Saccharomyces cerevisiae S288C: one gene and its partners. The gene in region 3 interacts genetically with the main gene of each other region. Each region holds a gene or a part of one and is shown on either strand. Other genes may lie near its edges.

Region 1 (11,145 bases), on a different chromosome or scaffold from region 3:
CAGATGCTAGAAGAGATGGTTCTCTCCCATGGTTGAGACCAGACACAAAGACTCAAGTCACTGTCGAATACGAAGACGACAATGGTAGATGGGTTCCAAAGAGGATAGATACCGTTGTTATTTCTGCTCAACATGCTGATGAAATTTCCACCGCTGACTTGAGAACTCAACTTCAAAAAGATATTGTTGAAAAGGTCATACCAAAGGATATGTTAGACGAAAATACCAAATATTTCATCCAACCATCCGGTAGATTCGTCATCGGTGGTCCTCAAGGTGACGCTGGTTTGACCGGTAGAAAGATTATTGTCGACGCTTACGGTGGTGCCTCATCCGTCGGTGGTGGTGCCTTCTCCGGTAAGGACTATTCCAAGGTCGATCGTTCCGCTGCTTACGCTGCTAGATGGGTTGCCAAGTCTCTAGTTGCCGCTGGTTTGTGTAAGAGAGTCCAAGTCCAATTTTCATATGCTATTGGTATTGCTGAACCATTGTCTTTACATGTGGACACCTATGGTACAGCTACAAAATCAGATGACGAAATCATTGAAATTATTAAGAAGAACTTCGACTTGAGACCAGGTGTGTTAGTAAAGGAATTAGATTTGGCTAGACCAATTTACTTACCAACCGCTTCTTATGGTCACTTCACTAATCAAGAGTACTCATGGGAAAAACCAAAGAAATTGGAATTTTAAACATTTAGACAATAAATGTTTTATTTTGATTTTTATAATTATTTCAATCCCTTTCTTTATGCTAGGCTGGTCCCGATCACCTCCCTATATTGAGAAGACGATGCCTTATCGTTTGATTCGCTCAACTCGAGTCATGTAATTACTAGAAAATGATACAATAGAAAAGTTTTAAACATTCTTAAACTTGACAAACACCAATAGAATAACATCTAGGCATAATGATCTATTTTGTATGGATTATGTATTAGCTCCTTCAACGGAAATATATAGAAAATATTACTTTATGTTTTTAGAACTTTTTGACGAGTTTTACCAGTTTTTTTCATGATGCTCCACGTGGTAATATGACTATGCTATGGAAATAAGGTTGAAATATAGAATGTCTTTGAGGTTATTTGGTCGGCCTCTTCCAGAAATACTGTTTATGTTTCTTCCTGCACGACCTTAATCGGCTCCTGCCTTTTAACGAATTATACAAAATCTTTCTCTCGTCGCTATCATCGTTTTCAACATCATAGTAATACTCGTCTTCTAATGGCTTGCCAGACGCATCTTTTCCTTCACGCACAATAATACCAATGCAAGAAATAGTCTCCAAGACCTTTTTTAGTTCATCTTTGCTTAATTGTGAAGTGTTGGAATTGATGTTTTGCAATTGGGATAAAGGCGTTTGTTGAAGGTTAGAAAATGCAAGATGATTACATAGCACATGAACTAGGTCATCAAACCGAATTCCTCTTTCTGAGAGCGACCGAGAAATTTCGGGAATAATATTCAATGAAGTCTTAAGACGTTTTTGTGCAGGAGATACAATCGCGGTTGTAGAAGACAGCTCTTTAGTTTTTTTTGCAACTGCTGCGAAAGATTCTTCTTCATTAATGCCACCACTCCTAGTACTGGCACTTAATGTCCCAATTATTTTATCTTTAGGAAGTGGTGTCTCTTGTATAGTGTTATTTTTCAATGAAATTGATTTACGCTTCAGTTTCTTTGGAGTTGATGGCTGATTAATAACGAAAGATGTTTGGGGTGTTGTTCTATAACTAATGGGGGAGTTTTTCACAAGAGCAGGAGATGCAATAAGTAATGGTTTTGAGATCTGTTCTGTACGAGGTGAATGCTCAACTGGGACAAATTTCATCGAAGGTGTTTCTTTTTGCCAAGAAAAATCATCGCTCGTTGTTGTTAATAAACACAACTCATCCTCCGTTTCTGTCGAGTTCTCTTCGTCAAAGTTATTGTTGCCATCGCCAGGATAAGGTGCTACTTTTTTCAATGAAAGACAGACTGTGACGCCTGTAAAATTTATGAAACTTCCTTGGATATAGGGGAAAGTAACAGTTTCACCTTTAGCCAAAACAAAGCTGATGAAGTTTTGGTTCTTTTGAAGAGTTTTTCCATGCGATTGTTTAGTATTTTGCGAGGTCAAAGGCTCTTCTGCCACTAGTTTATAAAAGTTCCTTGTTGGGAAGGGTTTTACCAAATGCAACTGCATGGAGTAAGGCAAGTGAACGGACAACCCATTAGTTCCATTACATTCCAATTTTATTTCATTTCTGTCGGCGGCGTATGAAATAAAAGCGTGCTGCCTAGAGATATTCTTTCTGCATGGCAAAATAATGTTGCAGACTGATTTTTTCCTACCGATGGCTAAACGTGAGGGATCCGATGCATCTAATTCAATCTCGATAGGGCCTGCAAGCACCTTTTCTTGCTTTGAAGGAGATGACAAGGCAGATTTGGTCTCATTTAAACGTGAAGTGATATCTTTCACTGGTGAAGATTGTCTTCCGATGCTAGACGACGGGTCTGGAGTAGGATACTCTTCCAATTCGTAATTATACCGTTTTCTTCCTAAGGTCAATACAGAAGTATTAGCAAGCTTACCAGGTTCTTTTTGTGGGCTTTCCAAAGGTTTACCAGCAACTGGTGATGATGGTGGGAAGAGATGGGACATAACCAAAATTGTGACGATTTTGTCGTGAAACTTCTAGCGAAAAGACTAATGAAATCGGCAAATATTGTGTAAATAGTATACCAAAAAAAAAAACGCTTCTATATATTGTTCCCCGTTGCTAGTAACGATAGAAACGGCAAATAAGGAGAGAAATTAAACTTTCTTGGGAGAGGCAGAAGTGTTTACTTATTCTTCTGAAACAAAAACAAACGCGAAAAAAAAATTATCGCGTTTGGATTATCATTATTTAGACATTAACACCTGTACATATTTGTATTTTAAAAGCCGAACATTTTTGGGTTCTATATCAGTTTTTTTTTTCTTCAAGCACTCCGTACACCACTAATATTATCACTGAGAATCTTCCTGCCACTTGCGGGAAGGATGAGATTGGAAACATGGCTGGAATAGTAAGCATAGGTTACTATAGAAAGCGGTAACAAAAAGCACTACTATGTGTAGATAAAGAACAAAGAGGTAAACGAATATATAAGTAAAGATGGGTAGTATGTACAGGAATTATTAATTGATGAGTCAACGTTCAATCACATCCGGTCTGATTTAGAGGATTACATGAGAAAGAAGCACTGAAAAAATTTTCCACCAGGAGAGGCCAGGTAAACTAAGACCTACGTTATTCACTATGCCAAAAGATTTAAAAATATAGAATGATGAATGTTGCCAGAGCCATTGATGATAAGAAATTGCACATAACGGATGCATAAAGAGCGAATAAAAAGATTTGAGTGTCAATACAAAAAGGTGAGAAGAAATAGTGTAAGACAGCAACACACATCTAGACCGCCAATGAAGTTGTTCTGAATCCAGCAGTAGAGTTTATTTAGTTCAAAGTTTTACTAACGATAATTAACTTTTATGTTTTCATTTTAAACAGAGGGTACTCCTTCATTCGGTAAGCGTCACAACAAATCTCACACCTTGTGTAACAGATGTGGTCGTCGTTCTTTCCATGTTCAAAAGAAGACCTGTTCCTCTTGTGGTTACCCATCCGCTAAGACTAGATCTCACAACTGGGCTGCCAAGGCAAAGAGAAGACACACTACTGGTACCGGTAGAATGAGATATTTGAAGCATGTCTCCAGAAGATTTAAGAACGGTTTCCAAACCGGTTCTGCTAAGGCTACTTCTGCTTAAATTTGATATTATCTATAAGTTTTGTTCTTTCCTAAAACGAAAATAATATAAATTATATATAGTTAATATTAAGCATTACAAGGTTTCTATAAAGCGTTGACATTTTCCCCTTTTGATTGTTGCCTTACAGTCCCATTGAGATATATAATGAATCGGCCTCCTCTAGTGTGGTTAGATCGAATGATTTTGACTCAAGAATAGTTCTTGCCATTTCTTGAAATTTCTCATCGTACTTTACTTGCATTATTCTCCCCGTTCTTTTATTCAATTGCATCTTCAATTCTTCTTCGATATATTCTGGTAAATCCTCAAAGGCATCTTCGTAATAAGAGGCTTGATCCTTTATCGTCAGATCATGCAAACTATCTACAAGGTGTCGATGATCTCTCATTTCTCTTTCGTTTGCTGTCACAGTTTCGGTTTGGCATACGAGAAACCTCCATAGTGACATAATCAATTGGCTTTCTACCTGCTTGATTTGTTCTTCACGCAATTGTTTGAAATGGTCTTTCCATAGCCTATATATTATGGTTAAAGTATGTTCAATAAGATGGCATCTGAGGTCCAAGTTCGGGGAGTCTTGTCCCACGTACCTTTCTATCATTAACGCTTGCTCCCTGGATAAGAATTTAGAGGAGTGGATGAGCATTTCTCCATTTACTATGGTCGCATCGTCTCCATAGATCATTAATAAATTTTCAAAAATATTTAAAACTTCATCTTTTAACTTCAAAAGCCATTTTTCCATCTTGTAACCTATTATAGGGGCAGTGAATTTGTCGCTATCCATCCCAATATCCTCTTTAGAAATTACCCTTGGGACACTTTGCAATCGGTCAGTATAAATCAGCTTTGATATCAATCCTCCCAATTCATTATCACCTATATTTCGGATTAACCCAAAAAAGTCATGGTACTTCGACATATGAAGAGTTGTAGTATCCACATTTTCATTATATACGTCGCCACTCTTAATTTCCTTTTCCAAAAGAGCGTATAATCTTGTAATACAATCTCTCCACCAACTACCGCTTATCAAGGATTTCAGATCTGAGGAATTGTCCATATTTAATATTATACTAGTGATAATATTAACGACCTCGACTGCACTAAATATTACATTTACCATTGGCTTGTATGAAATGGTTAGTGCTAGTTTGTAGACAAATTCAAATGATTTTAGAATATTTTCATCAAAAAATTCCATATAAGTTTGCTTAGGATGCGACTGCAGTACCCTTAATATACCTTCTAGGAGATCAAAGGAATACGAAATTATCAAATAGTCTATCAGTTCATATTGGAAAATCTGAGGTTCTACATGCAAATTCATATTTGATTCATGTATCGGTACTTTCAATACATGATGATAGATTCTTATTAAATCGCAAATAAAAAGAAAACAATCCTTCAGTGCTAAATTATGAGTGGCACTAGGACGAAATTGTACAATCTGATACATCAATGCAACGAGAAATGGGACAGCTAATTTCGATTCATTTGGATGAACTGATATTTCCTTGATCAAAACAGCTATATCCTCTAGCAAAGTATCTATGAACCTGTCGAGGGTCAACGTCTTTTTACATCGCAAAAGTAGAGAAACTATGGACTTCCCTATGGGGGCTCCTTTAGCAATGACGAAATTCTTAAATTTAAACTCTGTGATGTAGTCAAGCTTCAATCTATTTAATATTTCTATTGTGCTCAGGTCAGCGCCTATTATTTGATGAAGTAATATTGACTCTAGAAATAAACTCGTTTCATCGGGAATAATCCTATTTGGGTTTAGGGGAACCATATTTTTTTTCAGTAAATTATCACTTATCTTACGTTTTTTTGATTGTGGTGATTGAGGTTTTGCTTCGATTGCAACTGAGGACGAATCTGGCGTTATAGTGTTTGTGTTTGTTGATAATGTTGTTGACGGTGGTTTTACATTCGTAATAACTTCCCTTTTCGATTTTCCTCTCGCTTCCATCTGTAAGAACTTCTTCTCATCTTCCAGTTTCTGTAATTCTTGTTTTAATTTAGCCAACTCTTGAAGATGCTTGACTTGCAATTCATTAACTTTGACGGCTTGAATATTCTTTTCCTTTTCCCTTTCAATGTTCAAAAAGTTTATTTTATCACGAAGCATGCTTGCTTCACCTTGAGCTTTATTCAGTTGGTTAACCAGTTGGTTATCATTTTTACTCTGTTTATTGTTTAATGTGGTCGTTGTAACCTCCAAAGTAGTGGGAATTTGTGTTTGTAATGCTGCTGATGATGGCGGTATTTGAGTAAACCTTGGAGGCCTGGTGCCTAATTCCAAAAGAATATCATCATCGTCATCTGAAGAAAATTCACCCACCGTTTCTCGTCTCATCTATAATAGAAATATGCAAAAGAGTTTGATGATTGTGTTGACGTTTCGTGCACTATCGCGTATTTGTTTGCTTTTTATTTTATTGCATGTGCTGTTTTCCCCAAAAAATCGATGGAACGCTCGGATTTGGCTAGAGGCGGGAAAAATCACCAATAATCGAAGAAAATAGAAGAACCAAGATACTAATAGCTCTTTGTAAGATAAATTTTGGAGTTACTACAGGTTACTATCCTTATTCAGAGACTTTTTACTGCTTTGCTCCTAATATTTAGTAGGAAAGAGCGAGCCTGTCTGACTCTTTTTTTTTTAAAAAAATTCAAGGTAAAACCTAACTAAACATAAAATTTCCACTCGAGTTATTCCGCTTAAAAGTGCTTAACATCGGTGCCACACAATACGAACCTTAGTAGAGAACCGACCGTTACCTCTTTATTAGCCCTAGTTTGTACCACTTAAGCTCTAATTCCAATCTAATGTGTGTGTATTTTTTTCTATTGTTAGCGCCGCACCAAAGAGGATCATGGTAAATACAATTACATAAAGAAAAGAAAAGCAACAAAACAGCTTCGTTTGCACCTTTAGCAAACGTTGGAATTTTCCTAATCTCAAAACAAGTGGTAAATCTAATCCCACACTAAAGAAAGCACGTCTTTACCAGTGACTTTATCAATAAATCACCTGCACACGCTGTCCGGGTAAATAGAATTGTTACTAAATAATGAAAAATACATTCGCAGTTGTAAAAATGCCAACAGAAATACCTGATATACAGTTAACAAGTAAGATCGGATCACGCTGCCAAGGCGCATAACAAACTATAAAGCCATTAAAGATTATGGTCGTGACATTTTTGCAGGACCTGGAAGTTTTGCAAGATGCATTATTAAATAATTTGCAAAAATTAAGTGCAATCTCCCGCAGAAAAGAAAGCGGAGAAAGCAAGCATGATAATAAGGACAGTTTTGCAGCCATTGCCAACGAACACAATGATGAAGAAGAAGAGATTGAATTTGAGGATTTGGTGAATATTATAGAGAGCAAAGTTTCAGATTTCGAATCGGTACTGAAATGTAGTATTGTGGAAATGACCTACAAATACCCCGAATTAAAATTACAGTGGGAAAAAAGCCCTAGATACGATCAATGCGATAAGTTGCATATTGTGAAGCTTGATAAACAAATGAACGAGGACATATATGCTCAGTTGGTCGAAGAACTGGATTTCGTGTTGCAATTCGTCGATTGGTTCTATTGCTACCGCCTGAAAGTCAAAGAGATTCTACGACAACACCACAAACGTGACTTAGCTTGGAACGACGAGAAAAGAGACCGCGCTATAAAATTTCACGCTGTGGATTACGACAAGCTTCACCAAGGAACGTCGTCATCGTCAAGCTTAACGTCCACATCGATGGAAAAAGCCAGCACTAGAGAGAAGCTTTTGAGCAAAACAAAACAACTGACGAATAACTTGGTGAGAGGAAATCAAATTTTGCAGTCCGGAATTTTACAAAGTGACCTGAATTTGGATGAATTGAGAGCCCAAACCAATTCCTTAACACAAATCGATGACAAGTACACTCAATTCGAAACCGTCTTCAAGAAAACTGCCGATTTGGTCAAAGTACTGGAAAATGCCTCCCATCAAGAGAAACGAGATGTCTATTTATCACTTGGGTTCCTCCTATGCTGCGTCTCGTGGGTTCTATGGCGTCGTATTTTCAAGTTACCTGTTAAACTCGGCCTCTGGCTGCTATTCAAGTTTTTCAAGGGTATACTCGTCACCCTAGGTCTAGTTAAAAGCTATGCAGGCTCCTCGTCCTCTCTTCAAGCACCCAGTCTTGTGCTAAATGCACCCATTCTAGCCACTACAACTACATCCTCAGCAACCTCTGTGGAACCATTCGCATCTGTATCAGCCGTCAGTAGTATCCAGCGGGCTGTCGATGAGGCCGTGGACAGGATCGTCTCACATGATGAGCTATGATAATTTTAACATCTATATAACATAATAAGCGCATATACTTAGTTCTCTCCATCCTCTCCATTTATTTTCTCTCACCATTGTTTCTGTTCTCTTCACATGCGTTAGGTATAGCTTATACCCCCCACTGGTTGCGCTAAATACGCCTTCCCCACCGCATGTGAAAAAAGCTCGACCAAGCTCAACGCGCTGTTGCAAAATGGAAAAAATATAAAAGGAATCAAGCCATAGTTGAGAAAAGACCTTTCACACTTGGGCTTTTCTTTGGCAGGTGTTTGCTCTATTCTTCTCTTTCAGTTTGGTGCGCTATTCAGATTTATTGGTCGTCCTACTGTATACATCTCTTTCATTTTCTTTGTTTCTGCAGTGGGTGTTAAAATGGGAATACACATACCATATCTCACGTCAAAGACATCGCAATCAAATGTTGGTGATGCCGTTGGCAACGCTGATAGTGTAGAGTTCAACAGTGAGCATGACTCACCTTCAAAGAGAGGTAAAATTACACTTGAGTCACATGAAATACAGAGGGCTCCCGCTAGCGATGATGAAGATAGGATTCAAATTAAACCCGTGAACGACGAGGATGACACGTCGGTCATGATCACTTTTAACCAATCTCTTTCGCCCTTCATCATCACTCTGACTTTTGTCGCATCCATATCCGGTTTCATGTTTGGTTACGACACTGGTTATATATCCAGTGCGCTGATCTCGATCGGCACAGATCTGGACCACAAGGTACTTACTTATGGGGAGAAGGAAATTGTCACTGCGGCTACCTCTCTGGGAGCTTTGATTACCAGTATTTTCGCCGGTACTGCAGCTGACATATTTGGTAGGAAACGTTGTTTAATGGGTTCGAATCTGATGTTTGTCATTGGCGCAATCTTACAGGTCTCCGCACACACATTCTGGCAAATGGCTGTTGGTAGACTGATCATGGGTTTCGGTGTCGGTATCGGCTCCTTGATCGCGCCACTTTTCATCAGTGAAATTGCTCCCAAAATGATCAGAGGGAGACTAACTGTCATCAATTCCTTATGGTTGACTGGTGGTCAATTAGTCGCTTACGGTTGCGGTGCTGGGTTAAACTACGTCAACAATGGTTGGAGAATTCTTGTTGGATTGTCACTAATTCCCACTGCTGTGCAATTCACATGCCTGTGCTTTTTACCTGACACTCCAAGATACTACGTTATGAAGGGCGACTTGGCAAGGGCTACTGAGGTGTTGAAGAGAAGTTACACTGACACTTCGGAGGAAATCATTGAACGTAAGGTGGAAGAACTTGTTACTTTGAATCAATCTATTCCTGGTAAGAATGTCCCTGAAAAAGTCTGGAATACCATCAAAGAATTGCACACAGTACCATCTAATCTAAGGGCTTTGATCATTGGTTGTGGTTTACAAGCAATTCAACAGTTTACCGGTTGGAATTCGTTGATGTATTTCTCTGGTACCATCTTCGAAACTGTCGGTTTCAAAAATTCTTCCGCTGTTTCAATCATCGTGTCCGGTACCAATTTTATTTTCACTTTAGTTGCCTTTTTTTCCATTGACAAAATAGGCCGTAGAACCATATTATTGATTGGATTACCAGGCATGACCATGGCTTTAGTCGTGTGCTCTATTGCTTTCCATTTTCTAGGTATTAAGTTTGATGGCGCTGTCGCTGTGGTGGTTTCCTCCGGTTTCTCCTCTTGGGGTATTGTGATCATCGTATTTATTATCGTATTTGCTGCGTTCTACGCTCTTGGTATCGGTACTGTTCCATGGCAACAATCGGAACTATTCCCCCAAAACGTGAGAGGTATTGGGACTTCATATGCAACTGCTACAAACTGGGCTGGTTCACTGGTTATTGCATCCACATTTTTGACCATGTTACAGAATATCACTCCTGCAGGTACATTTGCCTTTTTCGCGGGATTGTCGTGCTTATCAACCATTTTCTGCTACTTCTGTTATCCAGAATTATCGGGATTGGAGTTAGAAGAGGTACAAACTATTTTGAAGGACGGGTTCAACATCAAAGCCTCGAAAGCTTTGGCCAAGAAGAGAAAACAGCAAGTTGCCAGAGTTCATGAATTGAAATATGAACCAACTCAAGAGATTATAGAGGATATATAGTCCTTTCACGAGGTAAAAGGAAGGAGACGCAATTGAATATTCAAATACATAGTAGAAAATAAATAAAAATAAATTACAAGATAGAAAAAAGTTCATTGTATTTAAGTCGAACTAATTGTTGTATGCATATATAGAAGATTAACTAACCCGGCATTGAAGACCTTTTTTTTTTTTCACCTTGAGAGAAATACTGAAAATTTTTTTTGCTGGGATGAGATGAGATGCCTACCTAAAGTATTTCGAAGGTGAAAGCGTTTTATTATAGAGTACTGAAATAAAGCACAATCAGGAATAACAAATTAACTGACAATGGCACCTTTAACCAAGAAGACAAACGGAAAACGTTCTGCTAAAGAAGTTAGTCATTCAGAAAAGAAATTAGCCAAAAAACCTAGAATTTCTATTGATTCGTCTGATGAAGAATCAGAACTATCCAAAAAGGAAGATGCTGTATCCTCTTCATCAGATGATGATGATTTGGATGATTTAAGTACCAGTGACTCTGAAGCAGAAGAAGAAGCTGACGAATTAGATATTTCCGATGACAGTGAGGAACATGAAAATGAGAATGAAGAGAAAGAAGGAAAGGACAAATCTGAAGGAGGTGAAAATGGAAATCACACTGAACAAAGAAAACTGCTAAAAGAAAGGAAAATGCAAAGAAAATCTGGTACCCAAGTGCAACAAATTAAATCCGTCTGGGAAAGATTGCGTGTGAAGACCCCACCTTTACCAAAACAGATTCGTGAAAAACTTTCCAACGAAATCTGGGAGCTATCTAAGGACTGTATCAGTGATCTTGTCTTAAAGCATGATGCTTCCCGTATTGTTCAAACTTTAGTCAAGTATTCGT
Region 2 (9,668 bases), on a different chromosome or scaffold from region 3:
CCCGCATTAAATGACATTGGGATTATTGCAAATGTTCGCCCTTCAACTCTTCCTTGCTTAACTGATAATTGAATCAAACCATTTCCACTCCACCCCTGAGAAAATTGCAACAAATAACACCGCCTTATCCTACAAATCTTTAGTTATTACCTCCTTAACACTATCCTTACTTTAACACTTACTCCATTTTCTGACTAATAAAAACATATACACACATAAGTAGGCACAGAAATGCAAATATTCGTATAACAGGAGACGAAAATTCAATATGGTTACTCTGACTTGTCGCTCGCATAGTCCCTGATCTACAGCATTAATCCAAAAAGAGACATGTGTGTAAACAACTCCGGGCCAACACACTGAAAAATAAAGAAATCAATTTATTTTCGTGGGAGAAATAAAAGCAACAGAGCCAAACGTATCAAACTTCAGCACTACTCATTAAGAATATATGCAATAATACTGGATAGCACTTTCAACTGCTTCCCCAGAAGGATAGCCTAGAAGAAAGTTTCTTTTCCGTTGTTGATGCACCTAAATAATGTCGTCTTGATCAAATATAGGCTTATAGTATTGATATATGTTTATATAGTCAACTGTATTTATATCAAAAAAAAAAAAAGATTTTTTTTTTATTCTTTCGTTATTTTTCAATGTCTATGGAAGTTCATTAGTAAAGGCATGTCTCTATTTTGGAATAGCAGTGTAGATACCGTCCTTAGATAGAGCACTGGAGATGGCTGGTCTCAATCTAGTGGAGTACCATGGGACACCAGTGATGACTCTGGTGACTTGTTCAGCTGGAATACCAGTCAACATAGTGGTGAAGTCACCATAGTTGAAAACAGCTTCAGCAATCTCAACTGGGTAGGTCTCAGTTGGATGAGCTGCTTGAAACAAGTAGTATTGAGCCAAATGAGCTCTGATATCGGAGACGTAAACACCCAATTCGACCAAGTTGACCCTTTCGTCAGATGGAGATAGAGTGGTAGTGGCTGGGGCAGCGGCAATACCGGCAGCGATGGCGGCAACACCAGCAGCGATTGAAGTTAATTTGACCATTGTATTTGTTTTGTTTGTTAGTGCTGATGTAATCTTAACAAGAAATAGTGAAATGAAAGCGCATACCTCAAAGGCATATAGTTGAAGCAGCTCTATTTATACCCGTTCCTCCATCTGTCATCACTACTTAAACGATTCGTTAACAGACGCTCATTTAGCACCTCACATATCCTCCATATCTCATCTTTCACACAATCTCATTATCTCTATGGAGATGCTCTTGTTTCTGAACGAATCATACATCTTTCATAGGTTTCGTATGTGGAGTATTGTTTTATGGCACTCATGTGTATTCGTATGCGCAGAATGTGGGAATGCCAATTATAGGGGTGCCGGGGTGCCTTGAAAAACCCTTTTACGCGCGCCTGTGAAGTTTCCGCTTTCGGTCAAAAAGAATATCCGAATTTTAGATTTGGACCCTCGTTCAGAAGCTTATTGTCTAAGCCTAAATTCAGTCTGCTTTAAACGGCTTCCGCGGAAGAAATATTTCCATCTCTTGAATTCGTACAACATTAAACGTGTGTTGGGAGTCGTATACTGTTAGGGTCTGCAAATATGTAAACTCTCGGCGAATGCCTTGGTGCAATTACGTAATTGTAGCCGCTGAAGGCGGATGGTATTGAGAGAAGTTGATGTTCAAAGTATCGTGTATGATAAAAATAGAATTGTAACCAGTTCGTAGTAGCAGTATTAAAACTTTGATTCCGAGATGTAATCCCTCTTTTCTAGCCAGATATGAAGGAAAAAAGTGTAAGGGTAGTTGAGAGCGCTACTTTATTTTATTCTATTTTAAAAATGTTCTCTAGGAGAGGTGTATTAATAGTTGGTACTCCATGTAGCTTCTAAGTCAAAAGAAATGTCTCTATCTTTATGGTAACGGTTCATCGTTAGAGCTCAATTGTGCTTCTTGGATGTATTTCCAAAGTCCCACGTTTAATAACCCACACAACATAAATGTCCTTGAATATAAAAAATTTCGAAAGCTCCCCGTAAAGAATGCTTGATAATCAGCTCCATCAAAGAAATACTTTTTGTTCTTCCAAACTTTTCCTCTCAGCAAATACATATTTATTTCCTTTGCAACCACTTTCTAGAGAATTCATAATAGTTGATAAAAAAGGCATTTTGTCTTCTATGTTCATAATTTCAATTCTTGAATTTTGGAAATCGTGAAATGTTTCGAGAAACCGCCTTCAATAATTAGAAAACAAAATAAAAGATTACAGTTAGGCCACTCAAAAATACAATTCAGATAAGAAAGGTGCGATAGTGGGGAATAAGAATTGGAAATCCGCTTGATAATCAGGGAAAACTTAAAGAACGGGGTGTTAAAAGTCTGTGAAGTATAGATCAAACTCGCACTAGCTAGCAATACTCATGAGAACCTAGGTGAGTGTAAAGCAGTGAACCTTCTTTAGAAAGCAGAGAAAAATCCTCCAAGTTAACAGTCTTCCATACTTACTCAGTATGGATCAAGTTCCACAGTTTGTCCACTTCTGTAGAATAAACTTGTAGTGCTTTTCCGATGAAAAGGGATAGAGTCTTTAAAAGACTTGATCTTGGCATTTTTATCCTCCTTCAAGCAGAATGGCTCCAGTAGAGTTGTTCTGAACGCTTCTGGGCAGTGAGCAGCATTGAAGAAAAAGTACTCAGCATTCCAAGCTTTGTCTTCATATAATTATAAATTAAAACTCATAGCCACCAATTTCCAGGTTTTGGTCGCAATATGCTGCAGAATCAATGGCTTGTTTCGTTACTATACTGGTCCGACGGAGTTTACTTTACTCTAAATTTGCTGAAATAGCAAGGCCACACGCCATACAATTAACAATAGTTCATTCAGTTGAAAGGTTTCCGAGATAGAAAGTGCGGTAGTAGAGAAGAACAATAAACGTATCAAACTTTGCGCAGTCATGGAATTTCCAGGAAACATTTTTAGGTTTTCATATGACAGCAGTTCCTGTCCGAGAGCTGTGCCTTTCTTGTCTCAGCTGACTAAGATGTCTCGGATCCGCCCGGCTGGCGCGCGGCTCCGTCTAGTGGGATAGGCTTTCAACACATAGGAAACCCTTCAGATGATGAGAACACATCGAATCCCAGAGAGTAATATCACCAAGAATAAAGCAACCATGATAGACAATATTACTAAGTGTTCCTCAACAGATATTGAGAAAAGTTCTTATAAAGCGGGCAGGCTTTTTTCTATTTTTTTCTTTTTCTTTATCTAGCTTAAGATCCTTCTAACCATATTCTATAAAATGGCAAGCTGAATACAGATTATCAACGACAATTACATATAACCTACAAACAGGCAAGTTGCAATTCCAGAAACCATGAAGGCTGTCGTCATTGAAGACGGTAAAGCGGTTGTCAAAGAGGGCGTTCCCATTCCTGAATTGGAAGAAGGATTCGTATTGATTAAGACACTCGCTGTTGCTGGTAACCCGACTGATTGGGCACACATTGACTACAAGGTCGGGCCTCAAGGATCTATTCTGGGATGTGACGCTGCCGGCCAAATTGTCAAATTGGGCCCAGCCGTCGATCCTAAAGACTTTTCTATTGGTGATTATATTTATGGGTTCATTCACGGATCTTCCGTAAGGTTTCCTTCCAATGGTGCTTTTGCTGAATATTCTGCTATTTCAACTGTGGTTGCCTACAAATCACCCAATGAACTCAAATTTTTGGGTGAAGATGTTCTACCTGCCGGCCCTGTCAGGTCTTTGGAAGGGGCAGCCACTATCCCAGTGTCACTGACCACAGCTGGCTTGGTGTTGACCTATAACTTGGGCTTGAACCTGAAGTGGGAGCCATCAACCCCACAAAGAAACGGCCCCATCTTATTATGGGGCGGTGCAACTGCAGTAGGTCAGTCGCTCATCCAATTAGCCAATAAATTGAATGGCTTCACCAAGATCATTGTTGTGGCTTCTCGGAAACACGAAAAACTGTTGAAAGAATATGGTGCTGATCAACTATTTGATTACCATGATATTGACGTGGTAGAACAAATTAAACACAAGTACAACAATATCTCGTATTTAGTCGACTGTGTCGCGAATCAAAATACGCTTCAACAAGTGTACAAATGTGCGGCCGATAAACAGGATGCTACCGTTGTCGAATTAACTAATTTGACAGAAGAAAACGTCAAAAAGGAGAATAGGAGGCAAAATGTCACTATTGACAGAACAAGACTGTATTCAATAGGCGGCCATGAAGTACCATTTGGTGGCATTACTTTCCCTGCTGACCCAGAAGCCAGGAGAGCTGCCACCGAATTCGTCAAGTTCATCAATCCAAAGATTAGTGATGGGCAAATTCACCATATTCCAGCAAGGGTCTATAAGAACGGGCTTTACGATGTTCCTCGTATCCTGGAAGACATTAAAATCGGTAAGAACTCTGGTGAAAAACTAGTTGCCGTATTAAACTAGATGACGAACAGATATTATTTTTCTTTTGTATACACAGTTATTACGTATGTTAGAGTGACTTGGTTTTTTTTTTTTTAATGAAATTGTTTGTTATTGATCACGCCTTGTAGGGGAAACAGATGAGAACAGTGAAAATCATAACTCATTATGTGATTTGTTGTGCGTCACCCTTCCATGATTATATATCCTTACTATCTACTATCCAACTACTACATATCTATTGAACTCATATGTACCAAGCACATAAAATTATGCACCTATTTCCATTGGCAAAGACTTGGCGAAATTTAATACACTGTAATAATATCCGGCGAAGCTCTTTAAGAATTCTTACCTATAATAGCGGCTCGCTGTCCGAACGATTGCGCCGCACTTTTCTGCCTCTTACATTCCCTTTTCCTAAGGCGATAAGCAGGCTGAATGGAAACTACGATATAACGCAGTAGAGGTCCCCCAAGAGCTGGAAAGAAAATATTGGTTTGATAGCCAGCACTATTCTATCCAGTGGGCTCTTGTACCATTTTCTGTGGTATGGCTTTGATTCAACTGCATACGTAGTTAACGCGATCAGCCGCACATGGGCATTATCATTTTCAGGGGTACTGGTAAACCCTATTGTTTAGAAAGAATACCTGGTAAGCGGGTCTGTCGAGTCTTTCCCACTAATTTTGAAGAAAAAATCTTTACCTAGTTTGAGAATAATCGTGGCGTTCGTAACATCACGAGGTGAGAGAGACCAGTTAGGTAAGGGTATGCCAATAAAAGGTTATTGATACTTCAACGAATCTTCATATTAAAAGTGCCTTCACCAGAATAAAATTCTAACGTCATCCTAAAAAGCATCAATTGGACATAGTGAGGGAAAGTTTTCACCATTTAAAATCTATTCTGCAGAATACCATTCTAGACTATGATCCCTTAAAGATTCCCATTCTTTAAATATACAAATCAGGTTCAACAGCGTATCTTTATGGTATTATCGTACTACTGGCGACATTAGCAAATCCAAGTATCCTAACTAGGTTTCTAGTCTTATCTCTTGGTTTTCTCCATTAGATGGTAAACACGTTACCTTGATGGCTGTACAGGAAGTGAACATGGTCAACTCAAAGTCACCGGACTCAAAATAATTGCAATTACCTAGACTGGATATTTTTAGAATATTATGAGAATATTTTTAGAATACTTGCAACCCAAAATATATTTAAATGCCGCCAATTTGCAACCAAAAGATTATCCGCTACCTTTTTTTTAGTCATTGAATTGTAGCATAAAGTTCCGAGCTTTGAAAAAAAACTTTGAACTAAGAAAAGGTAAGAGATCCTCAATTATGATATTACTTCATGCCATATATACTCTTTGGGTAATTATACTACTTCCGCTACTCAATGCAGAGAAATTTGTCCCAAAAGTAACGGAGGCTCCTATAGAAACATCATTTAATCTAGTGAGTTTTGATGATTCCAACACTTCTATCAGATTAGATGGTTGGGGGGTTGTATGGATAAGTTTCGACGCTGGAGAAAATTGGGAAACGGTCAAAGAAATTGAAGAGCGCATTTTCAGATTTACTGTTGATCCTTTCCATGGACAGGAAAGAGGTTTCGCTTTTATATGTGAATCACCCAAATTCTACATTACCGACGACCGTGGGGAGTCATGGAGGGCTTTAACTATACCCTCATCAGAAGAATATTTAGATGGCGACTGTTTTATAACTACTCATCCTAGAAACAAAGAACTTCTTATTGCGAATTGCTATAGCTATATGATAGACGCAGACGTTTTATATGACCCAAGTGAAATTTACTTGAGCAATGATGGGAATCCTTTTTTAAAATTAAACCTTCCTTGGAAAAGAAAAAAGACGACGATATAACAACTTAAAGCTGTCATTTCATTAAGTCTAGCAAGGATTCTGACTTTACTGGTAATGATACTTCGATACTCTGTTTGTTCTCTAACCGTGAATACGATGAAGAATATCGCTTAACTGCTACCTACACACAGTTGGCTTTCAGTAGTGATGGAGGCAAAACGTTTAAAGATTTTGATGAATTTAAAGATAAGATTGTTACTCAATACAAGATATTGAAGTCATATGTGGTCGTTTTAACGCAAGATGACGGGCATAACGAGATGTCATCTACGGACATCTGGATATCCAATGATGCATCTACTTTTCAAAAGGCACAGCTGCCTACTCAATTACGGCACGTCAAAGTGATTAAAATTCGTGAAGATTCTATCGGAAGGATCATCCTTCTTATATCGACAGAAATCACAAATGAGGAAAATGCTGATCCAGATCTCTCAGAGATTTTCATATCAGATTCGCAAGGGTTGAAATTCTCACCTGTTGAATGGACACCAAACCATCAGTTTGGAAATTTTAGGCTCACTTTTCCTGATTTCTTGAAAGGGACAATATTTGGATCGTTTCATCCTTCCATTGACTATTCTAATCACCAAGTAAACTATACTGAAAATATAGCCGGAGGAGAAACCAAAATATCCGTTGATAACGGCCTCACATGGTCAAATTTGAAAGTTGTTGATGAAGAAAATGCCGATTCGTTCGGCTGTGATATCACTAGGCCTGAGAGATGTTCACTTCAGGGTTATTTTTACAATCTAAAACTTTCAAATCCTTCTGCTGGGATCATATTAATGACAGGTTCTGTTGGCGATGACAATGAATTCGATCGGAAGGACCGAAAAACTTTCATTTCTAGAGACGGTGGTCTAACATGGAGGGTGGCCCATAATTCTTCTGGATTATATGCTACTGGTGATCTGGGAAATATTATTGTATATATCCCGTCTCCTTCATATAAAGATGGTGATGTACAATCCAAACTTTATTTTTCCTTGGACCAAGGTAGAACATGGAATCAATATGAGCTTGTTGACGCTTTATTTTATATCCATCCATTAGAGTTGATTAATACAACGCCAGATGGATCAGGCTCAAAATTTATTTTAAGCGGACATCTCATTACTACGGCTAGTCAAGAAGGAAACAACACCAACATCTCATATATTGCAAGAAGTGTCCTGTATGCGATCGATTTTTCTGCTGCATTTTGACTATAAAACGTGTGAAGAGGAAGATTTCGAAGACTGGAATTTGGCAGATGGGAAATGCCTTAATGGCGCCAAATACATGTATAAAAGGAGGAAACAGGACGCCCGTTGTTTGGTAAAAAGGACATTCAAAGATATGATTTTGCATGAAATACCTTGTGACAGTTGTACTGAATCCGACTACGAATGCTCTTCTGAATTTGTTAGAGATGCAAAGGGTGACTGTATACCAGATTATGATCAGATTGCCCTTTCCGATATATGTGACAAAGCTAATGGCGAAACTGTATCATTAGAGCCATTACAATTAATTAAAGGAGATAAATGCAAAAAGCCCATGGAAATTGAGGCCATGAACATTCCATGTGAAAAAATCCTGAGGGAGAGCTCGAATGGTAAGAAAATAGCAACCATTGAAAACAAGTTTGACTTTGAAATTTAATTTTATCAATATTTCGATACAGTTTTGGGTGAATCTTTTATCATGCTTAAGTCAATAGAAGATGCCTACATACCTCACGATATGATGAATAAACAGTAAAAATGTTCGACACTGACGACAAAAAATTGACACTATTCGGGACTGATGTCATATAGAAACATAAGGTCTTACTATTTCGTTAATTTATTATTGTGATATGTATTTACAGTGTAATATGAAGTTGTGTTTAAACTATATTTTAATTCCAGGGTTTATTTGTTTGGCTCTATGAGTAACATTTTCTCAACTCAAGACAGAGGATGCTTTTCTATGATGGCTAAATTGCCTGAAACCAGACAACTAGGCATGCCACCAGATTTTGGTGATGAAAAATTGTGAATCAACCTTAAATCCAGAACATAATAGTATACCTTACCAAAGATGGTGGCGGAACGTTTACATAAATGCTTGGTAATGCAGTTCATTCTGGGTTAGCGGGCTCATTTTTCAAAAATCCGTCAAATGGGGATATTTGCTGTATGCTAAGTAAAGGAAAAGTTTTCGCCATCAGACGACTTATATGAAAACGCCAACGAATTATCCAGTTTCACGAGTCAAGGCGGTAATTTTGAAATCGAACAAGAAGATGCTCACACGCCTGAACGAAACACATGTCACAGATAACCAAGACTGTCTCTAGCAACATTCCAGACGCATTGCGAGCTCGAAGTTCCGCTCAAAAGGTTGATTGGCAGCAGCACGCATCGAAGACAAGTGGGTAATCTTTTTTACGCATAATAAATGGCTGTGTCTATTTTTTATTAAGAGAAGTAAGCATAAGGATTTTCTCAATATTGTCCATTATCCGAGGCCTCCATTACCTTTGTATGAATATAATCGCCATGAATATAATCGCCATTGTAGTTCGCCAAGTGCCGCCTTTCTTTTCTTCTATCCTCTTATCTTCCGCTTATTGGCACAGGAAACGTAAAAATTAATAATCACCAGTTCCAGTCATTTTGAGTTATAATCGTTTACCCTCCCGACAAAGATAGTAGCTCGATTCAAGAACATGAATTTTACTAATATTCGTACTTTTTTAGTTTCTGCTACTATTAATCGGTTTTGAATCCTGTCTTCATTTTGTGAGGACAAAATTTAGTAGGTGTGTAAAGTGGTATTTAAGATTCGAGTCTGGGTGCACTAAACAATGATAGACTGATCAGTACATCTTCAATTTACTATATATAGATTTTTATTAGTATTTGTTTGCAACAATTCAACGGTTAGTGTATGTAGACTATTGAATATAACGAAGATAAACAAAAAGAAGGGGAGCGAAAAAGAATTGTCAACAAATGTTTATCGATATCTGCGATAAGGTTCTGCAAACAAATGCCGCTTACGAAAAGAATACAAAAATAAGAGAATACAAGGTTATCAGCCGTCGAAAAGCACATGCTATCGTGTCATCATTTCGTGAACTATACTTCTAATGGTGTCTGCACCACAAATACCATATACACATTAGAGCATGACGATGAGTACTTACTTTTCTTGACTGTACAGCCACAGATGTTGCAGTGCGTTTCAAAAGTTCCAGCCCCACGTTTTGCCAAGATAAATTAAAAAAAGAACGTGCATATGAATATGACAGT
Region 3 (11,505 bases):
TTACCTGCCTTTGGATAAAGAAGACATTGTTGGACCTTTTGAGCAAGTGTACATGAACATTGCTGTCACTCCTCAAGAAATTCAAAATAACGTTCATACACACGTAGAATTTACGCCCACAAATATTCTTTCTATTTTGGCTAATTTGACTCCATTTTCTGATTTCAACCAGTCTCCAAGAAACATGTATCAATGTCAGATGGGTAAACAAACAATGGGTACTCCGGGTGTAGCTTTGTGCCATCGTTCCGACAATAAGCTGTATAGGTTGCAAACAGGTCAAACGCCTATCGTAAAAGCTAATTTATATGATGATTATGGCATGGATAACTTTCCAAACGGGTTTAATGCTGTTGTTGCGGTCATCTCGTATACTGGTTATGATATGGATGATGCAATGATTATAAACAAATCAGCAGATGAAAGAGGTTTCGGTTATGGTACTATGTATAAGACTGAGAAAGTGGATTTAGCACTTAACAGAAACCGTGGTGACCCAATTACACAGCATTTTGGTTTCGGGAATGACGAATGGCCAAAGGAGTGGCTTGAGAAATTAGACGAGGATGGTTTGCCATACATTGGCACTTATGTTGAAGAGGGTGATCCAATCTGCGCATACTTTGACGATACTTTAAATAAGACCAAAATCAAGACATATCACTCCTCTGAACCAGCATATATCGAAGAGGTAAATTTAATCGGTGATGAATCCAATAAGTTCCAAGAACTACAAACTGTTAGCATAAAATATCGTATTAGAAGAACGCCTCAAATTGGTGATAAATTTTCTTCTAGACACGGTCAAAAAGGTGTTTGTTCAAGAAAATGGCCAACCATTGATATGCCTTTTAGCGAAACAGGTATCCAACCAGACATCATCATTAACCCTCATGCTTTCCCTTCGCGTATGACCATTGGTATGTTCGTCGAATCTTTAGCAGGTAAAGCGGGGGCATTGCATGGTATTGCACAGGACTCTACACCTTGGATCTTTAACGAGGACGATACCCCAGCCGATTACTTTGGTGAGCAACTAGCGAAGGCGGGTTACAACTACCATGGTAATGAGCCAATGTACTCAGGTGCTACTGGTGAAGAATTAAGGGCAGATATTTATGTTGGTGTTGTCTACTACCAAAGATTACGTCATATGGTCAATGACAAGTTCCAAGTTCGTTCCACTGGTCCTGTGAATAGTTTGACTATGCAGCCTGTCAAAGGTAGAAAGAGACATGGTGGTATTCGTGTCGGTGAAATGGAAAGAGATGCTTTGATTGGGCATGGTACATCTTTTCTATTACAAGATCGTCTGCTAAATTCATCAGACTACACACAGGCATCCGTATGTCGCGAGTGTGGTTCTATTTTGACCACGCAACAGAGTGTGCCAAGAATTGGTTCGATTTCCACCGTTTGTTGCCGTCGTTGTTCCATGAGATTCGAAGATGCAAAGAAGCTATTGACTAAATCAGAAGATGGAGAGAAAATTTTTATTGACGACTCTCAAATTTGGGAAGATGGACAAGGTAACAAATTTGTTGGTGGTAATGAAACAACTACGGTGGCCATACCATTTGTGTTGAAGTACTTGGACTCTGAGCTATCCGCAATGGGTATAAGATTGCGTTATAATGTAGAGCCCAAATAGAGAAATACCCTTCTTTCCAAATTGATATAGAATGGTAAATGAAGGCTTGGTCAATTGTATCATATAGAGGTTTTTTATTGAATTACTTATACAAGAGCGCCCCGCAATAGAATATATATGTATGAGTAAACAAATTTATATCTTGCAGAAAAATATCTAACTTATTATTGGTGCGTTTTATTAATATTCCTATATTTTACATAGGAGGAAATTACATGCATGAAACCTAAAGGGTTTGGAAGCCAGCGGCAACATAATCATCGACAGTCATCTCGAAGATACTTTTGTCTTTAAGTTTACTATTTATCTTGGGAAATACGTTCATATCAGATTTTGTAAATCCTCTCGAAAAAAGACACTTTCCATTTTTTTGGTTTCTTCTACTGCAAGAGGTGCAGGCTTTGAAAAGGACTATTTTATCAAGGTGTTTTATGACTTCATATGTGCCCATCACGTCAGGCAGTTTCCTGAAAAACTTCATTCGAAACTGGTTTATGTCGTCTTGGGAAAGTGTATAATGCAAATTTGAAGAAATTGATGAAATTAGGTTCCTATCCTGTAAAAAGATAATGATTGTTGCATTGCATTTTATTTTCTTTATCCTACAAGAGTCACAACTTGGGCCGTCCCTCTGACGTTTTCTTTTGAGTCTGTTCGTTGCTATAGATGAAACAACCGCTGAATCGGTTGTTTCGCCGGAAGAAACAGTTTTATAGTATTCAGTGTACTCTGTTGGGCAACCAAGCTTGGGAAGCTTAGTCTTTTCGGATTCTTTTTGCCAATTACTATAACTGTGGTCTGCACATTGAATCGAAGAAACTGGCATAGATCCTTGCCCTGCCTGAATGTTTAAACGCTTTGGCAGTAAAGAGCAATCAGAAAACCCGAATGGTTGATATCTGCCATTGCTTGAAATTTGTCCTTTTAGCAATGAATCGTCACAGGTGTAACTGTTCAGTGCAGGCAGCAAAAGTGCAGGAAGAGATTCATCTTTGTTGGTAATTACATCACAAGTTCGATTGTTCGGCTTCATATCTGACGATTGATCCAAACAAACCAATAGCTTGGTGAGCGTCAGTTTGCCCTCTTCTTTGTTAAAAATTATCCAAGTGCGTTTTCTTTCTTATGGTCTATATGATAGAACTAATTCTTCATTCAAGAAAGTTTTTGTTGTACGTAATATAGAAGGACAACTACAGCCAGTCGAAGGAAAAAAAATTCCAAAAAAAATGCTAACCTTTAGCAAGAAAATTTCTTTTGTCAAACCTCCATTTAACCTTTGGTGGTTGATAAACATGAAATGGGCAATTTCACGAAAAGCTAAACTTTGTTTTCGTCTCCGCCTAGATGACTCTACCTTCAGGAGTAATATTTACACTATTTCTTCGCAGGCATTCGTTTATCGGCTTGGCAGGTCTAGATTTTTCTCTCCAATAAATTCTTTCCAAACATGTAAAGAAGATTTAGAATAAGAAATTTTAAAATTTAACGAAAGAATATATGAGCTAGCGGCGAAAACCCGCCGAGGTTTTGCCGTACATACCGTACATGTCTCCTTTCCATTATCAGCATCCAATTTTTATCTTACAGTAGGATGTTCATATTAAAGGAAAATGTATTTAAGCCCTTTCTTCCGTTTTCTCTTTTCCATTCTCCCGGCAAGTAAAAGTGGGTATCTTATCTCTTTCACTCGACTAGTGTAAGAAACGTAATACAGATTTTGTTGCTCGAAGAGCAAGAAGTGAGCAGTATAGTACACGTCAATGGAAGCAGTTTAGAATGGGGAGCGGTTAAAGCCCGAGACTCCCCAGGTAGATTGCACAGAGGACGCGCAAGTTCTTTTAAAATCTTGCCTGCAGAAAAAGAAATTATATTTATTTTCTTTTCTTTTGCCTACTTTTGATAAGTGAAGAGATAAGGTATGGAGCCCCGTAGTTTAAACCTAGATTTGTCATTGAGTGCAAATACCTCATCTCTGCGTGTTCGGACTTGCCTTCCTAGTTTATGTAATTATTTAAAAGAATCGGGAGTTACATCATAATGATTTATAGGGTTTCTTATTGCTATATTTACACAACAAACTACGCAAGGAATGCGGAAGGAAAACGATACTATTTCATTAGAAAAACGCACCTAGAAAGGTTGAGAATGCGCTACTAAAAATTCTGAAGATTATTGTTTGCCTAATAATGGTCTTACTCTCTGATACCTTATATTGTCAGAATACTATTAAGTAAAAGTGAGATGGGGAGGCCATTCACATTCCTGTTCTTGTGTGTGGGTGCTTCAGGCAAAGAAAAAGAAGGCGCAGTGCATATTTCTGCAGTGATTCAAATGGTGAACAGTAATATTGATTATGAAAATGTATAAGCAATCATAATGCCGATGATATTATTAGGTGTATAAAAGTGTATATATATATATATATGTGGGAGGAGGAAAACTACAGTTACAGAGAAGCAAGAGACGAAAAGCAAATTTATCATAACGAAGACATGAAATTATCCAAATCCGCAAATCCTTGATCGGTCAGTAATTGACTTGGTGGTGACGCTGTTTGAATACTACTCATTGGAGAGGTATCTGGAAGGTCATTCCTTCCGGAAGGCGTAGAGATCATGCTATTTCCTTGGATTATGAAATTACTACTAGATGAATTTTCCCTTATGGCATCCGGTCTATTCATACTTTTTAATGGTGGGGAGAACATTTGGTTCATCTCGTCTGGTACATTTTCCAATTGTGACAGATCGTGTATGTTATTTAGCGGATTTCTTTCTTCCTTCTTAGTGTGAATGTTCTTGTCTTGGCGACTTCCAGTTTTAGGCATTCTCGGAGAGTTTATTGACTGAGGAACTGAATGAATAGAACTTTGCTCAGCTAGGTTTGAAGGGTCCATCATCATATTTGCTATCGATGATGGCTGAGAGTTTAGTGATGTTAAACTCAGTTGATCGTCGAGATTGCTTGCTACGGCATTGTTCAATGCACCGGGAGATGTCGCTACGGTTGTTGGTGCCATAGGTGGATACCTATGGTTTACGTCAATGCTAGAAGATCTAGGTTTTCGAGTGAAAGGTCTGTCAGTAATGTAATTGGATGATGGCGATCTTTCCGTTTCTCTTTCTTTTTCGGGAATATCCATAAAACTCGGTGTCAAAGATAGCACTTCAACTCCCTTTCCGATGTCATTACTATGTGAATTTCCAAAAGTATTCTTCAAATACTCGTTTGCCGGATGATGAATAAATGATCTACTTCTGGAAGTTAATTGATGACGAAGTTGAGGATTTTTCGAATAGTTTTCTTGTTTGACAGAGTTTTCTTGCGAACCAATTTTTTCTTGCAATAATAAGTTTGCACGGGAAAGCGTTGAAATCGACGATGAATCTGTAAACATGTCAAATAGTCCATTTCCTTGATGTTCTTGTCTAGAAGAGTTGTTATTGTTCTTGTCGTTGCCATTACTGTTGATATTATTATTATTGCTATTGTTCATACCGTTTCCATTCATACTATTAGTCTTACTATAACTTTTGCTATTAATTCTATTACAGTTGTCGTTAATGTCGAACTTACTTTCACCAGTTGCAGCGGTTGCGGTTGTACTGAAATTTCTCTCAATACTTTCATCAAATGGCCAATCGTAGACCAAAGAGCTTTTATCAGTAACTCTTCCAACCCCATCAATGTCAGAAGGAATATATTCTTCTAGCGGAACGCTAACTTCGCCCACACGAGAGTTTGATATCGGCGATATTCGTTTTGAATGGCCTAATAGGTCAAGACCCACAGAGTTGTTTTTATCCATCATGTTAAGACGTGAATCAGCTTTCGCTGGCAAGCTTACCGAACTATCTTGCCAGTTATTGCCTGATTTTGAATGCTGATGATTACTGTGATTTTGGTTGGTTTCATTGATATTTCCCGTGAGAAAATTAAATGACATTGAAGATAACGGCGGGCTTTGTGGTATACTGAAATTTTGATCTAACGATTGCGAGGATTGTAAGGATGAAATGGAGGCCAATGAAGGGACATGATGGTAATCTTTTGAAATTTTACCAACACCCGGCTCACTGTCTAAAAATGTGCTCGTCAGTATGCTAGAGGTATCTGATAGTGCTCCGTGGCCGGATAACATATTGCTGTCAAGTGAAGTAGAAGACAATACCCTTTCAAACATTGGTTGAGAACGAGAAATGGATCTTCCTTTCTTTTGAGAACTTGAAGGGGACTTTCTTAGATGTCTCTTTTGAGCATGATATTTGCAAACCTCATCAGTCCCGCAGGTACACTGTTTTCTTTGTTTTTCTTTGGCTTTAGCTCTTGCTTCTTCTTTGGCTTTCTGTGCCAGTTTTTTCTTCTCTAGCCGGCCACACGTGCAAACACCTTCAGGATTTGCATTCTTGTTTTTTCGAAGTTGTTTACAATAGTCGCATGTAGTGGAAGGTCTACCTTTGGGTTTGATCATCATAAGCGGTTGATCTGTATGATTGCATGTTGTTACTCTATGGCCTCTTATGCACCTCTCACAGGCATACTTTATGCCATTTATCAAGACCATTATTTTTTAGGTTTTTTTTTTCTATACTTTTGTTTCCTTTTTCTTGTCAAATATGGTAGAGTGACAACAGAGAACTCTTTTCCTATGATAAAAAACCACGGGGTCTTATTTTGCTTGATTACGGTTTTTGTTTAATATTACAACCCTCTTTTCCTTGGAAAAGCTTCCCTGCCACGTTTTGTCTTGGCTCTTTTATTATAACTGATAAAGAGAACGGAAAGGACTTATAAAACGTGAACTTTCTAGTTTTCAATCAAGTGCTGGTGCTGTTATCCCTTTTTTTTTTCTTATAAAGTGGAAATGCACGACTCTGTATTACTAAGACCAATTAGCAGGTAAATAAAAAATGTGCAGCAAAAGGATATTTAGAAATCTGTAGCCCTCTCTTGTTTCTTTTCTCTTTTTCTTATTTTTTTTCTTTACTGAATTTTTTTCTCCCTTTTCTTTTTCCTGCCCCAATGTGACTATTGAAATCATGTCCAATAAAGGAAATAAAATTACCTCTTTCCCACAACCGGCACCACCAATTGACCTCCCGACTGTCTGAATGCGTAAAAAAGTAAAGAGCCTGCTATGCTCCACATGTTAAAGGGAAAAGAAAGGGGAAATGGGAAGAAAAATTATTCGCAAATTACCGGAAGCGTTAACGTTACGCCCTTCAGGGCGAGGGGGAAAAATTGCGCAAGCCCGGAATCGAACCGGGGGCCCAACGATGGCAACGTTGGATTTTACCACTAAACCACTTGCGCGAAGTATTGTGTGGGAGTAACATGTCACCCTGCTACTAAATAGATGTGGTTATACAGCCAAAAAATCATAATATTGTCTTATTTTTACAATTGAGTGTTGGAATGAAAACTCTAAAGTATCATCTGTTTAGTAGTATTCATGTTACTAGTACTTTATCACATTGGGTGTAAAAAGATCACATAAAGATTGAAAAACAGTCATCAGGTGTAATAGAAGCTAATTGCAAGGATTGATAATTTAGTAGGATGATGAATGACAGTCACATAAGATGAAAAGGATAACAATAATGCCATTATATCGAGAATATCGATCTCTTCGTGGGTTCTTCTCATAGAGAAATTCTAGTATATTCTAAATACGTAATATTATAGCCTTTAACAACTATAAAACTCCAACAATTATCAACTATTTCGCACATTTTTCGATATTATACATTACCAATCCTTCCTTTTTGACTTCCGTTGAATTTGATTACTGTCCCTCAATTTTTATATCATCTTCTTACACCGCATGTGATAATGTACTAGTAACGTGAATACTAGTCCATAAATAATACTTGACTCTTACTTCAAGAATAACATACGGCAATTCATTGTGTTCCTTTGGTAGATATGAAAGTAGGTATAAAACTTATTTTATCGTAACGTTTTTCTTTCTTCTTTCACGTGTTCTTTTTGTCTCGTTTTAGCAGGAGAACTTGACTTCGGCGGCAAACCAATATATCAGATTGATTAAGATTACGCGTTTTTACACTATAAAGGGAAGGGCATGGTATAAAGGAAGCAGTGTATCCGGACTTAATATTTTATAGTTGTTCTATAATTTCTTTTTAGCCTCAGCAACTCTAAAGCATTTGCTATATATAGATTAATATTACAAATATTCTGCAATGGCACCTCTTTCGTTGAACTTTAAAGATGACAAGAAATATAAGGGCCTCACAACAGTGTGGTTGCTTTCTGCGTTGGGAAATTCCATTGTAAAGGAAAGTAACAATTATTATTCAAACAAAAGCAACTCCACTGGAAACATATCTTCATCCACCGTTAAGAAAAAAGACATCGTAAATATTTCCATACCAAAAACATGTGATGAAATTCAAAATTTCGAAAATGATTTTTCTCTTAGATACATTTCTAATCTTTTATATGGAGTGACAATTTGCTATAATAAAAAAACCGAGTATGTGTTGAATGACCTAAATCACCTGCTTGTGCAGTTACAAAAAAATGATGTATACGCTTTTAAGGCCAAAAATAAGTCTACGAGGATTAATGGATTGAATAGTAATAACAGTATTATAGGAAACAAAAACAATAATTACACCTGGGAAGAATGCGTTTTTTTCGATGACGATCCCTTATATGATATTACTAAAGTTCCCGCACTGGAGTTTCTTAACACTACTCTCCAAGATAATGTATCTTTTATTGAGGAAGCTAAATCAATAAGGAGACAAGACTACATCAATGAGTTAAGTAATTCTAACAGGTTCGAGCTTCATGGGGACATGACTAACTCAGACGCGCAAAGTAATCTAGGATCTAACGTTAGAAATTCTTTTCCGCTGGATGAAATTCCCGTTGATGTGGACTTTAACCTGGACTTAGATGATATAGTGAGCCATCAGGGGACACCTTTAGGCTCTCACTCAAGTTCACAGAAGGATGGAAACGATTTCAAGTTTAATTATCAAGGAGATGAATTGGTGTTGAATTTTGAGAACGATAATGAAAATAACAGTAATGGAGGAGAAGATACATCAGTTGAAAATGAAGGGCCGGTAGCCAATCTCAAAGACTACGAATTGGGGTTAGAAGCGCAGGCTTCTGAAGAAGAAAACGATCTTCAACAGAAACTTAACACCAGAATGCAAAGAGGACATCGCGCCGATGTAGGTGGGCAATTTTCTAAGGTACAATTTGATGCCAAAACGAGTTATCCAAATGAAGTTCTCAAATTCAACCATGGAAATTACAGTCACTTAATGGAAAAAAACAGGATTAGAAAACTAACCGGCCAAAATTTTCTCACCTCTAACATAAGTAGTTTGGTAAGGTCATGTGGTGAGGAAGAATTTTTTTCAACAAATTGGTTAAGTATATTTAACGACTTTTCCAATATAAAGACTAGCGAATGGGACTTATATCCCCAAGGTTTTAGTTCAGTTGAAAGAGGGAGAAAAAGAGCACATTCTTTAGTATCAACCCAAAGCTCAAGTAGTACCAGAAGTCACGAATATGGTAGGAAAAGTTTTCGCAATAATAAGAACGATAATTATTCTTCCGATATGGAAAATGATAATTTACTTTTAAACCTTGAACAAATTAATGAGGATTTGGAAGATGGGCACTATATTGAAGAAAACTCTCAAGGTAACATCCTAGATTTTAATTTGAATCTACCTCCTTCAAGTTTTGGAAGAAGTCATACCAGAAACTCAACCAGGTCTAGTGGTTTCAATGAAGATATAGTTGGTGCTCTCAGAAGGAGAGTCGGGCCATCTGAACAGAATTTTGCCGAGGAAGACGATTCCAGCAACAGTTGTTTTTCTGATGGCTCTCAGCAAAATTTGCAGCAGGACAAAACAAATTTTCAAGACGTCATTCTGGATTATCAAACTAAAAAATTCTACGATTACATCAAAGAAAGATCAATTGTTGTCGGAAGAACAACGCGCTCCAATCCGCCTTTCAAGAGAAAGATGCTGTTGGTTGACATCATCCCAAGCCGCATGGGCGAAGCTCAAACGGGAGCTAACTTTGATGATGTAGAAAGAGGTGTCAGCAGACAGATAGCCGCCAGTGCCTTCCTATCCTTACTGAATTTGGCTACGAAAGGGATGGTCAAGTTGAACGAATATCCTGTTGCAGATGCGGTAACTAAAGATCTTAAACTGAGAAGAGAGGACGAAATAATTGTATATGCCTGAATTTTTATTTTCTCCTTCCATATGAGCGACAGCGGTTACTAGCCGCTGTCCTCAGGTTAATGATCCAAGTCCGAGATCCGGGCCGAATATGCTTGCGGGGAAAGAAATAAAAGTGCATTGGAGAAGAAAAGGATATGCTCTTCAATTAGAAGCGCCGAAACACTAACATCATGCTAGCGATATCATACGTACACTATATAATGTAAAAAATGGGCTTAAGAATAACTCTCTTATTTCTTAACTTTTGTTGCGGTTGAAGAGCTTATAAAAGTACTAGTGGCCTAAAGAAGCTACAGCGCCGATAATAATATCGATTTCGACTTTTCTAGTATTTCGCCGATGATTACAATGATTAACAACAAAACTTTCAATAGAAAAACTACGGGAACACTGAAGAAGCTGGTTTTGTCATCAGACAAGTCACTGCGAAGATCTTTCAACGGGGCAAGCAGTACTAAAGACTTCGTGTTCTCGGAATCAAGTAAAGTAGAAGAATGGTGGGAATCAGCCAGATTTAAGAATATCAGTCGTCCATACTCAGCTACGGATGTTGTAAAGCATCGGGGCAGCCTTCCTGCTAATACTTCAATTTATCCTTCATCTTATCAAGCTCGAAAGCTGTTCAACTTACTAGAAGAGAATTTCAAGAATGGTACTCCACTTCACACGTTGGGAGTTATCGATCCTGTACAAATGAGTCAGTTGGCCCGTTGCAGAAATATCAAAGTTGCTTACATATCTGGTTGGGCTTGTTCTTCCACATTAGTTGGATCTACAAATGAAGTATCGCCGGATTTTGGCGATTATCCATACGATACTGTGCCGAATCAAGTGGAGAGAATATTCAAGGCGCAGCAATTGCACGATCGAAAGGCTTTCTTGGAGGCCTCCATCAAAGGTTCTACTCCTGTTGATTATTTAAAACCAATTATCGCGGACGCAGACATGGGTCACGGTGGCCCAACGACTGTAATGAAAGTTGCTAAGTTGTTTGCGGAGAAAGGGGCTGCTGGTATTCATCTTGAAGATCAGATGGTGGGAGGCAAAAGGTGTGGCCATCTAAGTGGGGCTGTTTTGGTGCCCACAGCAACACATCTTATGAGATTGATTTCCACCAGGTTTCAATGGGATATCATGGGGACAGAAAATTTGGTTATTGCAAGAACAGATTCCTGTAATGGTAAGCTGTTGAGTTCAAGCAGTGATCCGAGAGACCACGAATTCATTAGGGGTATAATAAGAGATAACGTGGTGCCTTGGAGCGAAAAATTGATTGAGATGGAGGACAAAAAAATTCCCAACTCCGCCATTGCTGACATGGAAAAAGAATGGTACCATGAAAATGAGCTGTTTACATTTGAAGAGGCCTTAGAAAAGCAGTTTACGGCAAGCGAGTTTGAAAGCTATAAAGAAAAGAAGGAAGACCTTATGGTAAACAAGCTGGGTAGAGCATACCTAAGCTTAAGAGAAATGAAACTTTTAGCTCAAGAAGTGACACCACTAAAGAAAATTATATTTGACTGGGATGCTCCGAGGACCAAAGAGGGATATTACATGTTTAACGGTTGTATTGAAGCAGCTATTAGAAGATCTTTGGTGTTTGCC

What was found.
Region 1: mutations in HAA1 (region 3) and PLM2 together harm fitness more than expected from each alone (negative genetic interaction), as found in Saccharomyces cerevisiae (one large-scale study listed by BioGRID).
Region 2: mutations in HAA1 (region 3) and PAU3 together harm fitness more than expected from each alone (negative genetic interaction), as found in Saccharomyces cerevisiae (one large-scale study listed by BioGRID).

The regions. Positions count from the first base shown.
Region 1 is NC_001136.10:1,442,860-1,454,004, reverse strand, and holds PLM2 (Plm2p), read right to left. Parts: upstream 2,653-11,145; coding exon 1,087-2,652; downstream 1-1,086. Other genes in the region: methionine adenosyltransferase SAM2, read left to right, coding at 1-695; 60S ribosomal protein eL37 RPL37B, read left to right, coding at 3,152-3,158, 3,548-3,807; LCD1 (Lcd1p), read right to left, coding at 3,932-6,175; SEC20 (Sec20p), read left to right, coding at 7,011-8,162; myo-inositol transporter ITR1, read left to right, coding at 8,538-10,292; PUF6 (Puf6p), read left to right, coding at 10,602-11,145. UniProt on the Saccharomyces cerevisiae protein: Binds to the promoters of genes with functions important for the G1/S (start) transition; primarily genes involved in DNA synthesis and repair, chromosome segregation, nuclear division and transcription.
Region 2 is NC_001135.5:299,195-308,862, reverse strand, and holds PAU3 (seripauperin PAU3), read right to left. Parts: upstream 1,063-9,668; coding exon 688-1,062; downstream 1-687. Other genes in the region: YCR102C (uncharacterized protein), read left to right, coding at 3,396-4,502; YCR101C (uncharacterized protein), read left to right, coding at 5,833-6,381; EMA35 (Ema35p), read left to right, coding at 6,642-7,592; YCR099C (uncharacterized protein), read left to right, coding at 7,564-8,031.
Region 3 is NC_001148.4:567,731-579,235, reverse strand, and holds HAA1 (Haa1p), read right to left. Parts: upstream 6,219-11,505; coding exon 4,134-6,218; downstream 1-4,133. Other genes in the region: DNA-directed RNA polymerase I core subunit RPA135, read left to right, coding at 1-1,651; SUT2 (Sut2p), read right to left, coding at 1,878-2,684; REC8 (Rec8p), read left to right, coding at 7,858-9,900; methylisocitrate lyase ICL2, read left to right, coding at 10,240-11,505. UniProt on the Saccharomyces cerevisiae protein: Regulates the transcription of a set of genes, many of which encode membrane proteins. Among the genes regulated are YGR138C and YRO2. Does not seem to be dependent on copper.